Linked DNA regions of Callithrix jacchus. The protein of the gene in region 2 purifies or fractionates together with the protein of the main gene of each other region. This does not show direct contact. Links are inferred from orthologs where the notes say so. Each region holds a gene or a part of one and is shown on either strand. Other genes may lie near its edges.

What was found.
Region 1: the proteins of SNTB2 (region 2) and CASK purify together in Homo sapiens (affinity purification with mass spectrometry; 3 studies listed by BioGRID and IntAct, with this or other methods). This does not show direct contact. The link is inferred for Callithrix jacchus from reciprocal best matches to the Homo sapiens genes SNTB2 and CASK.
Region 3: the proteins of SNTB2 (region 2) and UTRN purify together in Homo sapiens (affinity purification with mass spectrometry; 4 studies listed by BioGRID and IntAct, with this or other methods). This does not show direct contact. The link is inferred for Callithrix jacchus from reciprocal best matches to the Homo sapiens genes SNTB2 and UTRN.

The regions. Positions count from the first base shown.
Region 1 is NC_133524.1:42,784,866-42,789,074, reverse strand, and holds the start of CASK (peripheral plasma membrane protein CASK), read left to right. Parts: upstream 1-1,337; 5' UTR 1,338-1,472; coding exon 1,473-1,531; intron 1,532-4,209. UniProt on the Homo sapiens protein: Multidomain scaffolding Mg(2+)-independent protein kinase that catalyzes the phosphotransfer from ATP to proteins such as NRXN1, and plays a role in synaptic transmembrane protein anchoring and ion channel trafficking.
Region 2 is NC_133521.1:26,737,900-26,742,268, reverse strand, and holds the start of SNTB2 (beta-2-syntrophin), read right to left. Parts: upstream 2,922-4,369; 5' UTR 2,905-2,921; coding exon 2,325-2,904; intron 1-2,324. UniProt on the Homo sapiens protein: Adapter protein that binds to and probably organizes the subcellular localization of a variety of membrane proteins. May link various receptors to the actin cytoskeleton and the dystrophin glycoprotein complex.
Region 3 is NC_133505.1:151,253,493-151,257,137, forward strand, and holds part of UTRN (utrophin), read left to right. Parts: intron 1-928; coding exon 929-1,078; intron 1,079-2,205; coding exon 2,206-2,367; intron 2,368-3,156; coding exon 3,157-3,285; intron 3,286-3,645.

The DNA.
Region 1 (4,209 bases), on a different chromosome or scaffold from region 2:
GACAAGTCTAACATTTATAGGCAATATAGAGAGCAGAGTAGGTGTTGGGAGTTTGGGGGCAATATACAAAGGAGATTAAAGTCGCAGTTTGTCCCTGCCTTCCTGGTTTCTCTCTAGGTTGTCTCTAGTGAGGGTAAGCGCTGGATTGATATTTGCTGAGTTTGGGCCAGAACGTGGGAGAAGCTGTCTCCATAGATGACCGTGTGCTGCTGTCGCACACCTTCCTAGGCAGTTTTTGTCTAGTCCTTTTATAGGATGACCTACCCTTACCCCCAGCCCTCGTCTTCATTAAGGAATGACAGGGTGGCACTAAAAGCATCCGCTGCCAAGCACGGCTTCAGTGACAACCTCTCTCTACCTCTTTTGGCCTTCTCATTCATTCGCACCCTTTCCCTGCCTCTTTTCTCGACAAAAAACTGGGAAAGGCTCCCTGCGATTACAAAAGAAGGGGTAACGGCCGGAGTTCCGTGCCTCTTGCCGGACAACGAGCGTGCAGCCGTGGACCTTTTGTCTCCATCCTCTTTCGCGGCTTGGTCGCGGCTAGGCACGGAGGCGACGACCCCAACCAAGCCCCGCCTCAGCAGCTGCAGCCGGCGCGCCCCACTCGCAAACCCTCCGCGCCCTCTAGAATCCCAGTGCCCGCCCTTTCGCCGTGACGCGACCGGCGCCGCGCGCATGCGCCGCTCAGCCCGCTCCCTTTTCCCTGGGACACCGCCTCCCGACGGACTGGTGTGGGCGGGGCCTGTGGTTCTGGAAGCGGCGCTGGCGACGGGGGAGGAGGGCGTGTCTGCGCGAGGCGGGTGTGCGGGGCTGGCGAGTCGGTCGGCTGCTGAGGCTGAGGGGCGGAGCAGAAGGCGGCAGCCGCGGCTCCCGCCCGCACAGAGCGCCGGTCCCGCGAAGCCCCCTCCCACTTCTGGGCGGGCGGCGGCGGCTGCGGGAGGAGGAGAAAGAGGAGGGAGCGTCTCTGCCACCGCCTCCTGGTCCCCAGCGCCGATCAGCCGCCGCCACCTCCCTCCGAGACGATCCTCCCTCCATGGTCCTGCCGCGGCACCCTCTGTAGTCCGAGCTGCTCCGCGACGCGACGGAGCCGGTCTCGGACAGAGGGAGCGGTCGTGGCCTCGCAGCCCGCTCGGGCTGACGAGCCGAGAGCGGGACGCCGCGCGGTCCCCGAGGATCCGCACGCCGGGCAGCGCGGCCCGAGCAGCGCGAGGAGCAGCGGGCGGGCGGGCGGCGCCGGGCCCGGGCCGCCCTTGCTCCCGCGCCCCGGCCCCGCCGCCCGCGCCGGGGCGGTAGTCCGCAGAGGAAGGCGCCGCAGTCTCTGGGCCTCGCGGCCCCACTCAAGCGTCCTCGGCGCCGAGGGCTCGCGGGTCCTGAGGGGAGGAGGCGAGCCCGGGGCTGGGCACTGAGCTCTTGGGCGCCCCCACCCCCGTTTTCGAAGCCCTCCACGCTGCGGCCGCTATCCCCTCCGGACCATGGCCGACGACGACGTGCTGTTCGAGGATGTGTACGAGCTGTGCGAGGTGATCGGCAAGTAAGTCTCCACGCGAGGGAGCGGGAGTGTGGAAAAATGCATTTCAGTGATACCCCGGTCTTCCCGCACCCGCTCGGGGCCTGCCCCCTGCCCGCCCTCCCCTCTTCCCCTCTCGTCCTCCTCATCCTGGAGTATTTATAGACGTGTACCTGGAGCTCCTGCTTGGCGGGGGCCTTGGGGTTCTCAGCGATCCATTGAGGCCAACGAGCCTAGGTTGGTCACCCCGTAAGGCGTGGAGCCGGCTGCCTGCATTTTATCTGACGGTTGCATAGGGACGTGGCACAGCCGATTTTATAGTTGCTTCAGTTAGGGTTATTGTTACCTTGCTTGTACCATAGACCATTTTTGAAAAGAGCAGCTTGCATTTCCTTTGCTTGTGTGGAGAGAGAGAGAGATAGTCCAAGGTTTTAGTTGTGGGGTGTGTGTCTATTGTGCAGGATATTAGACAGATGCCTTTGTGTACACCCCGTGCCCGGATAGGAAGGGGTCGTTTAAGACGGGGTGCGTTCAGTTTCAGCAAATCCCCCCCTGGTGTACACAGACGTGGAAAGAGTTGGGGGCATTCGAATTTTTAATGCCTCGTTATGCAATGACTGTTCAATCAGTGCTCGAGGCTCCCCTAGACTGTTGTTGGGATGGTGGTTAGCATGGTAGAACCGTCTGCTTTGAGTCACCAGGCTGGTCTAGAATATAGAATTGACAGTCCAAATGCTCATCCTTTCATCTGTGTTGTATAATTACGCTAGGGAAAAGCAGGGAATCAGATTAATCACAGTGCTGATTGAGAATTAAATCTGCAGTTCCTCATCTAATTGTCTATTCCTTAAATCTATTTTGAATAGTTTCCTTTTCATTCTTGTCAAACAGTATTCCAAGTGCACAATCCTGCTAATTTGCTTGTGAAGGAAATGCTGGCAATCTGAACTTGATTTCCTAACACAGCGTGTATTCCGTGGCTTAATAAGGATCGCTAGAGCTACCATTGAAATATTTTTTTTTTTGGAAGCGGTGCTTTATTGTCTATTTTAAGGTCCACAGTTGGGAAATGAAATTAAGACCTTAGAGCAGTTGGCCCTCTCTCTTTTAAGTTGTCTGCAGTACACAATTTTAATTTGAGTGCTAATTTGTTTCTTTTTCTTTCCATATTGAGGTATTACAGTGTTGCCTCTCATGGTGAAATCGTGGATAGAGCTTGCTACACACTTTACTCAGACACAATTGATATGAGGACATGTTACTCCTTGCCCTATTGTTACATGATCAGCCAGACTGTTAAAAGGAAAGTATCCAAATGTGTCCTGTTAAAGTGGTTGTGGAAGTGTTTTGGAATAGCACTGTCCAAAAGCTGTATTATGAGCCACATTTATAATTTAAAATTTTCTAGTAGCCACATTTAATAAAAAAGGTATAACTAATTTTAATAAAATATTTTATTTAACTCAGTAGATTGAAACATTTCAACATGTAATCAATATGAAAACATATTAACGAAATATTTTACATGTTTTATACTAAGTCTTTGAAATCCCAGTGTGTATTTTACACTAACAGCACATCTCAATTCTGACACTTAAGCTGAATTTTCATCAGAAATTCGTAATCTGTATTTAGGTTTCATAAAATCTGCATTTGCAAAAGTAGATTCACATACCCAAGTGGTTCCCAGTATATATAAAAGTTTTCCAATAACCGAATCAAGTACCTTTTTCTAAATTTAAATTTTAATAAATGAAAATTAAATAAAATTCAAAATCCGTTTTCCAGTCTGACCAGCCACGTTTCAGGTGCTCAGTACCCACATGTGAATAGGACAGTTTTGGAGAGAAAAATGTCTCAAAAATCTCCTTGGTTTCCTTATTCTTAAGAGCACCCAGTAAAGGTAAATTAGGTGTTTTCCAAAAGCCTCCAAATGACTGGATGTGTGGGTGAATAATATTTGTTGCATCTTAGTTATAGCTGATGTAAATAAACTAGCAATTCATAATTGGAAAATGTGAGATTAAAATGTTAATTATATTGTGAAGATGGAAAATAGCCATCACTGAATCAGTTTTGGTAACTAGTTCTGATTCCTTAAAGTTGGGAAGGATGATGATGTGATCTCTTTGGATATCAAAAAGAAATGGTCATCATCACATTAACAGTATTCCACTGATTTGTAGTTGATAGAATATTTTCAGTAAACACCCCTGGGAGAAGAAAATTCATCTTTTCTGGCTATTTCAGAGCTGCATAAAGAGGGGCAGCAAGCTAATTTTGAGGTGATAGGCACTCTGTGGCTATCTAACTACTATGAACTGTGAAATCTCATTCATATCCTACAAAATCTGACTTGCTCAGTGTCAATTATAAAATGCCATTACATGAAATAATGAATTCAAGCTAGTCTTATTGTTAAAGAATGTAATAATAGTGTTCCTCAACCTGAGTAAAGGTTGAAGGTTTCTCTGGTAAATTGTCTTAGTATATATTGATATGGAAATTGAAATTAGCTTGAGATTTTCTTGCAGGGACCTTGACAGCATACATTTTTAACTTAGAATTTGTTCACCTCTGAATTTGAACAGAAAAGCCTTGAAGATCTTCCCATGCATTGAAAACCTTTTTATTGATTTCCATCCAAGTTCTGTGGAATTTTTATTTTCTTTTATAGCAAGTTAGTATCACAAATTGTTTTT
Region 2 (4,369 bases):
ACAAATACTGGGAAGCATTTACTACAAGGTTTTCGTTTTGCTGGTCTGAATACTATGTTCAAACTATACCTACACAAAAAGTGGGTTTTTTGTTTGTTTTTGAGATGTAGTCTTGCTCTGTCACCCAGGCTGGAGTGCAGTGGTGCTATCTCAGCTCACTGCAACCTCCGCCTTCCGGGTTCAAACAATTCTCCTGTCTCGGCCTCCCTAGTAGCTGGAATTACAGGCGTGCACCACCACCCACAGCTAATTTTTGAATTTTTAGTAGAGAGGAGGTTTTGCTGGGTTCTCCTAACCTCAGGTGATCCACCCGCCTTGGCCTCCCAAAGTGCTGGGATTATAGGCATAAGCCACCTCGCCTGGCCAAAAAGTGTTGTTTTTAAAAAATATGGTGTAAAGGGTTCAACTGAGGACTACATAAATAGTACTAAATTCAATATTCTGGATATAAGAATTTATAACCAAATGCTTAGCTAGACCAATTTCAAGGCACACATTTAAAATAACAATTTTTTTTTTTTTTTTTGAGACGGAGTTTTGCTCCTTACCCAGGCTGGAGTGCAATGGTGCGATCTCAGCTCACCACAACCTCCACCTCCTGGGTTCAAGCAATTCTCCTGCCTCAGCCTCCTGAGTAGCTGGGATTACAGGCATGTGCCACCATGCCCAGCTAATTTTTTGTATTTTTAGTAGAGACGGGGTTTCACCATGTTGACCAGGATGGCCTCGATCTCTTGACCTCGTGATCCACCCGCCTCGACCTCGCAAAGTGCTGGGATTACAGGCTTGAGCCACCGCGCACGGCCAAAATAACAATTTTTTTAGACACACCCAAACCACAATCTATAATTTTACTCCTTCTATTAACACTAAATTTCCGAGCCGTGTCTAGCCCCACCTAGACATCCAAAATAAACAAGGTTTACAAATAGGATATTATAAAGGTGGGACACGAATTTCACAACTGGTGTACATGAAATCATTTCTGATAAACCAGTATTTTTCCAAATATTCACAAGCTGATTTATAAGAAACTGAAAATTATTGTGCCAAGTTGGACTTCTGGCCTCTCGGTTTGATGATTGGTCCTTCCCTTCTGTCTTCCTCTGCCAGGAATACTCTCCTGACTCATCCCTGCCTGCCTATGTCCATCACTTCCTTGGAGAACTGGCTCAGGGAAAAAGTCCTGCCTGCCTAATTCCATCTCTACTAACTACTTTCTAACTTTGCATTCCCTTGGGACTTAAATACAGTTTGCACGACATAATCACCAACTTCATCCCTTTCCTTCCTATAAGTTGTTTTGCATTTTTCTATCATTTCTCCAATAAGAGACCAAGAAGGGACAGCATCTTCTTTCATATTCTTTTCAACACAGCTAGCAATAATCACCAGTGAAAGAAAGCTGACCTCTCAAAAATTGCTAAAGAAAGCAACTGACTTTTCGTTTACAGTTTACTCTATCACCTCCAATATGCATGAGTCCTTAAAGGAGAGGAATTTTATTTTTGCCTTACTTCAAATTCATCATAAAAGATCCAACTTACAAATCACATATATAACTTAATGTAAAGAATAATCCTGGTTATTGAAAGTTATCTTGTGATTTACCATTTCAAGTTTCTTACAAAAGCCGTAATAGTCTTGAAGCAGCGCGCCTGTGAGTGGAAGGAAGCTGGCAGCAGACTCTTGCAAAAGGGGCAAAACTCTAGTTGGCAGTAAATGTTCAAACACGTGATCCTCCACTGTTAAGGTTCATTAACCACACAGACTTGCTGTTTCAGCTTTCTGGCTTCAATGAAGTGCTATGATCTCCTTTGGTTATTGTTGAGAGCCAATGATGGGTTAAATTCCCATAAATTAACCAGCGCTTTGGTGGTTTGCCCAAGTATACCGCTGGCATCGGTGTTGGACTTTTTTTAATAGACCTGCCCGCCCCGAAGAGCCAGAGTTGAGTGAGTTAAGCGCCAACCCGGCACTTCTCAGCGGGCAAACGGAGACAGACCCACTCGAGCCGTTCGCTCTCCCTCTAGTTCTTAGTGTCAGCTTATCCGGCCGAGGGGGAGCTTCATGGGAAGCTGCTTTTTGCCCAATCTCAGCCGAGTCTTCCTTAGGGGCTGCAAGCCACACTTCGGCGGCTGCCCAACTTTTCCTGCAAGAAGCATCCGTTTTTCCACACTCTAAGTTCCAGAAACCCGGGTTTGGGAAGAGACGGGGAGAGAACCGGCTCGCCCCGTCGGCAGGGAAGGAACAAAGTGAGCTCCCGCGAGCCCAAGCCGCCGCGGCCCGCCCACCCTCCCGCCCCGTCGGCCGGCCCCACTCACCCTCCAGCAGCACCTCCTTGCCCGCGCGCTTCAGCGCCTGCACGGCCTGGTCGTGGGTGGCCTGGCGCAGGTCGGTGCCGTTCACCGACAGGATGGCGTCGCCCAGCCGCAGCGCCCGGCTCTGGTCGGCGGCCAGCCCCGGGAAGATCTTGGAGATGAGGATCGGCATCCGGTTCTCGCGGCCGCCCTTGATGCTGATGCCCAGGCCGCCCGCCTCTTGCTTCACCACCCGCACACGGCGCACGGGCGGCGACGCGCCCGCCTCACCCGCGGGGCCCCGAGGCGGCGCCGGTGGGCTCGGGGGCCCCAGGCCGCGGCTCGGGCTCCCAGGCAGCGAGTCGCCGGCGCCGCCGCCGTTCGGAAGGCCGTTGAAGGCGGCCGCCGCGGGTCCCAGAGCGGGCTCCAGCTCGGCCGCGGCGCCGTCGCCAGTCAGGCTCAGGCTCTCCCCGCTCAGTTCCGCCACCACTCGGACCCAGCGCTCCCTCAGGAGTAGCTCCACCAGCCCAGCTTTGGTGGCCCGCGTCCACACCGCCATGGCCGGCCCCTCTCCAGCCGCCGCAGTCGCCACAGCTACCCTCATTCCAGTCAGGCAGCCTCAGCGCTTCCCCCTTCCCGCCCGGAGGGGCGGGCCCGGCCCTTCCCCGGCGCGATTCATTATTCATGATGCCACGCCCACCTCCCGAGGGGCGGGGCCGGCGCAGCCGCTTCCGGGAGGTGCAGAAGCTGTCGGATCCCTCGCTTGTCGCCGGACGCGGGCAGCCCGAGTGCGGTGGGACTGCATTTCTCATCCTCCTTCCATTGGCTCCCCACGGACCCGCAGAAACTATTGACCTCTACCGTGCAATTCACGGAAGCTGCCTGGGCACGAAAAGCAAAATCAGCTTGGAGAAGCACTTTGCAAGCATGCAAGACCCGGTGGCACGTTCATTCTTGCACTGATTGGTTCGCACCCTGTGTACTGAGCGCTCAACCAGGGACTCCGGCTCCTTCTGAGGCCCTGTAGATAAGCGCAGTAGTACCAGCAACAGCTGAGAGTCTGCGGTCTAGTGGGGAAGGAAAATACAGAACCAACCAACTAGGTGTGATAATACGTGGTTAAATGACATACAGAAAATGTCCCCAGAACAGTATAAAAGGAACATTTGGGCTGGGCGCGGTGGCTCAAGCCTGTAATCCCAGCACTTTGGGAGGCCGAGGCGGGTGGATCACGAGGTCGAGAGATCGAGACCATCCTGGTCAACATGGTGAAACCCCGTCTCTACTAAAAATACAAAAAATTAGCTGGGCATGGTGGCGAGTGCCTGTAATCCCAGCTACTCAGGAGGCTGAGGCGGAAAAATTGCTTGAACCCAGGAGGTGGAGGTTGCGATGAGCCAAGATGGCACCACTGCACTCCAGCCTGGGCAACAAGAATGAAACTGAAAAAAAAAAAAAAAGAAAGGGAAGAAAGTCTGAGAAGGGGCCTGATAGAGGAGGCTCATGCCTGTAATCCCAGCACTTTGGGAGGCTGAGGCAGGTGGATCACTTGAGGTCAGGAGTTTGAGAGTAGCATGGCCAACGTGGTGAAAACTCCATCTCTACTAAAAATAAAAACATTAGCTGGGTGTGGTGGCAGGCCCTTGTAATTTCAGCTCCTAGGGAGGCTGAGGCAGGAGAATTGCTTGAATCCAGGAGATGGAGGTTGCAGTGAGCCAAGATCACGCCAGTGTACTCCAGCCTGGGTGAAAAAGTGAGACCCTGTCTAAAAACAGAAAGTTTGAGTGCATGATAGAATATGTTAGGATGAAAGGAAAAAAAAAAAACAAAACAGGAAGTTTGAGAAGAGGGTGAGGGTGGGAGTGGGGAGGATCATGTAAGTCCGCATCCCCATGCCAAGGCCCAAGAGCCAGGTGCACCAAAGTCTGAGACCAGGAGAAGATCTATGTCCCAGCTCAGGCAGAGTGTGAATTCCCCCTTCCTCTGCCCTTTTGTTCTATTCAAGTCTTCAACTGATTGGATGCTGCCTCCCCATATTGGTGAGGGTGATCTTTAGAGTCTACCATGGA
Region 3 (3,645 bases), on a different chromosome or scaffold from region 2:
CAGCCTCCTGAGTAGCTGAGATCACAGGCGTGTGCCACCACCCTAGCTAATTTTGTATTTTTAGTAGAGATGGGTTTTTTTTTTTTTAACCCGGTCGGCCAGGCTGGTCTAGAACTCCTGACGTCAGGTGATCCACCTGCCTTGGCTTCCCAAAGTGCTAGGATTGTAGGTGTGAGCCATTGTGCTTGGCCAGCCTTCACGGTCTTAAAGGCTTTAGAGCCATGTTGGAATCTCAGCTCTTCTTTTGACTTTGTGTATGTTGCCAACTTATTTAACATTTCTGAGCTTCAGTTTTCCCATCTGTAAACTGGGAATGTGATTTAGCTGATGTGGTTAATTAGATTTATGTATATAAAAAGTGTATATATAAAATAGTGCCTCTTATTTGGCATATATTGTAGGAAAATGAATACTTATTTTCAGTAATATAATTAATAAAAGTTGAGATAATTTTGCTTGTATAGCATTGTTCTCTGCCTTTAAACTGTGTCATATCATGAGCATTTCCCCATATAATTAATAGTTATTTTCATGTTTTGTTATTCATTCATTTATGTATTGTTCAGAGACATAGTTTCACCCTGTTGCCCAGGCTGGAGTGCAGTGGTATGATCAGAGCTCACTGCAGCCTTGAACTTCTGGGCTCAAATGATATTCCTGCCTTACCCTCCCATAATTAAAAATAATTGAAATTATTTTTGTGGAATTATATCATCATATATCACTTGTGCAAATCTCTCAATTTTATGCATTTTTTAATACCATGATGAATATTTTTGTGAATTAGTAATTTACTTAATTTTTGGTCCTATTCCTTAGGTAGATTTTTAGAAAATGGAATTAGTTGTTTAAGAATTAGACATTTTGGGGATCCTTGATACCTTTGGCCTTAGTAAATGCACTATTTTTTTCCCCATTTTTGGTCCAGTCTCTGGAATCTGTTCTGCGCCACCCGGCAGATAATCGCACCCAGATTCGAGAGCTTGGCCAGACTCTGATTGATGGAGGGATCCTGGATGATATAATCAGTGAGAAACTGGAGGCTTTCAATAGCCGATACGAAGAGCTGAGTCACCTGGTAAGAGTCGGGACATGCATGCGTGTTGATTAGGTACTGATGAAGTGGAGCTGGCCCTGAGCTCCATATCATAGAGCTTTAATGTTGGAAAAATCTTTAATGTTGGTTAAAGTTGGTAACCAATGCCAACAGGGGCATTGAGAGTACTGAAGTACTCAGGAGCGGAGAATAGATCTAACACTTTAAGAAAGGCAGAGCTTGATGATTAAAAAAATTATTTTTGATATTACTTCTACATATTCTTATTACACTTTGAGAAAGAACACTTCTTTTACAGGAAGATTGGGTATGAATATTAGGTGCTTCCAAACACATATTAAATAATAACTGTTGGTGTTTAGTCAATGAATAACATCAAGCTTAACCCCAAAGTACAGTACATAGTAGTTTGATATGTACGTACACCTGTAGAATTTGTTTTACACTTTAGAAAAATAGACTCTGATGTTTGCTGTATTTACAGACATTTTTCTTATTTATTTATTTATTTTTTGAGACGGAGTTTCGCTCTTGTTACCCGGGCTGGAGTGCAATGGCGCGATCTCAGCTCACCGCAACCTCTGCCTCCTGGGTTCAGGCAATTCTCCTGCCTCAGCCTCCTGAGTAGCTGGGATTACAGGCACGCGCCACCATGCCCAGCTAATTTTTGTATTTTGAGTAGAGACGGGGTTTCAATATGTTGACCAGGATAGTCTCAATCTCTTGACCTCATGATCCACCCGCCTCGGCCTCCCAAAGTGCTGGGATTACAGGCATGAGCCACCGCGCCCGGCCTTTTCTTATGTTTTATATTCTTATTGGTAGACATTGATGACTCCTAAAAATTCCTTAAAATTATAATAAATAACAAATTTTTGTCTTCTGTTTAATGCATCTTATGTGAAACTTTACATTTTTGTATTTCGTCATTATATATAGAAAGAAGTAATAATTAGTAATTCAGCTGAATGGTACATAAGATCCCAGTAGGACATTTTCACTGTTGTCATTAGTAATTATTATTTATTTATAGGAAGGGTAAAGTCTTGAACAAAAGCTTTTATAGTCTTTTCTTAGTGGCCAGAACATATATATTCAGCTATTTATATTTGCACTGAGCAACTAATGATTCAATTTCTCCTCTGCAGGCAGAGAGCAAGCAGATTTCTTTGGAAAAGCAACTCCAGGTCCTGCGGGAAACTGACCACATGCTTCAAGTCTTACAAGAGAGCTTGGGGGAGCTGGACAAACAGCTCACCACGTACCTAACTGACAGGATAGATGCTTTCCAAGTTCCACAGGAAGCTCAGGTATTGCTATGAATTTGAAGGCTTTCAAGATGTAAACAGAGCATATGCAATTGCCTCTCCAACTATAATAAAATCCCTCTTGCCATCCAAAACCGAGAGTCAGTGGGAAAGATTGACCTTACTTATGGGGCAGCATTTAGGTTTTGAAGTTCTCTCGCTTTCTATGTGAGACTCTCTCAAAAGTTCTATATATTTTATTTTGTTATTTATTTGAGATGGAGTCTCACTCCATCACCCAGGCGCAGTGGTGCGATCTCAGCTCATTGCAACCTCTGCTTCTGGGTTCAAGTGATTCTCCTGCCTTAGCCTCTAGAGTAACTGGGACTATAAGCATGTGCCACCAAGCCTGGCTAATTTTTTGTATTTTTAGTAGAGACAGGGTTTCACCATGTTGGCCAGGCTAGTCCCAAACTCCTGACCTCAGGTGATCTGCCTTGCTCTGCCTCCCAAAGTGCTGTGATTGCAGTTGTGAGCCATTGTGCCGTTGAAAAGTCCTGTATATTTTGAATAGTAGTTTTCTTCGCTACGAAGTTGGGACAATTCCTTCCTTATAAATAAGTTGTGAACATTAGAAATGACAAGTGTAAGGACCTTAGCATGTGCATCACACACAATAGTCATATTATGCAGTGCTGTATTATCATACAAAACTTATTAAAGCTTCTATGGAGGTCAACATTATGTAAAATACAACATTATGTACTACACAACAATATAGAACTTTTGTATTGCTTCTTTTTATACTTAAGAAAAAAAGGACATTGTTTCCCCTTTCCAATCTCTTTGTAGAAAATTCAAGCAGAGATCTCAGCCCGTGAGCTAACCCTAGAGGAGCTGAGAAGAAATATGCGTTCTCAGCCCCCGACCTCCCCAGAGAGCAGGTCTGCCAGAGGAGGAAGTCAGATGGACGTGCTACAGGTAAGGAGGGCGAGGAGCTTCCATTTACTTTTCAGCACGTTGGGAATTTTTTTAAAAGAGAAAGAATTGGTTACTCGGGCACCCTTGGTGCCCTTATGATGTAAATTGTGGAATGGGAGTGATGTCTTGAAGGTGCATTGCATCCTAGGGCAGCAGAAACAAATTGTTGCAAGGGGGGGAAATGTTAAATCTGATTTTTATAGTTGAGTTGAGAAATAAGAGAGTGAGCCGTATTTCGAGGTTACCTTTATATAGTCTTTTTCTTTAATGCAGAGCCTCTGTCAGCATCTTGTGGCTGATGCTGTGGGCAGGCTGAGCATGAATTGGATGCAACATCATTTAGTTCTTTCATGGTTGATG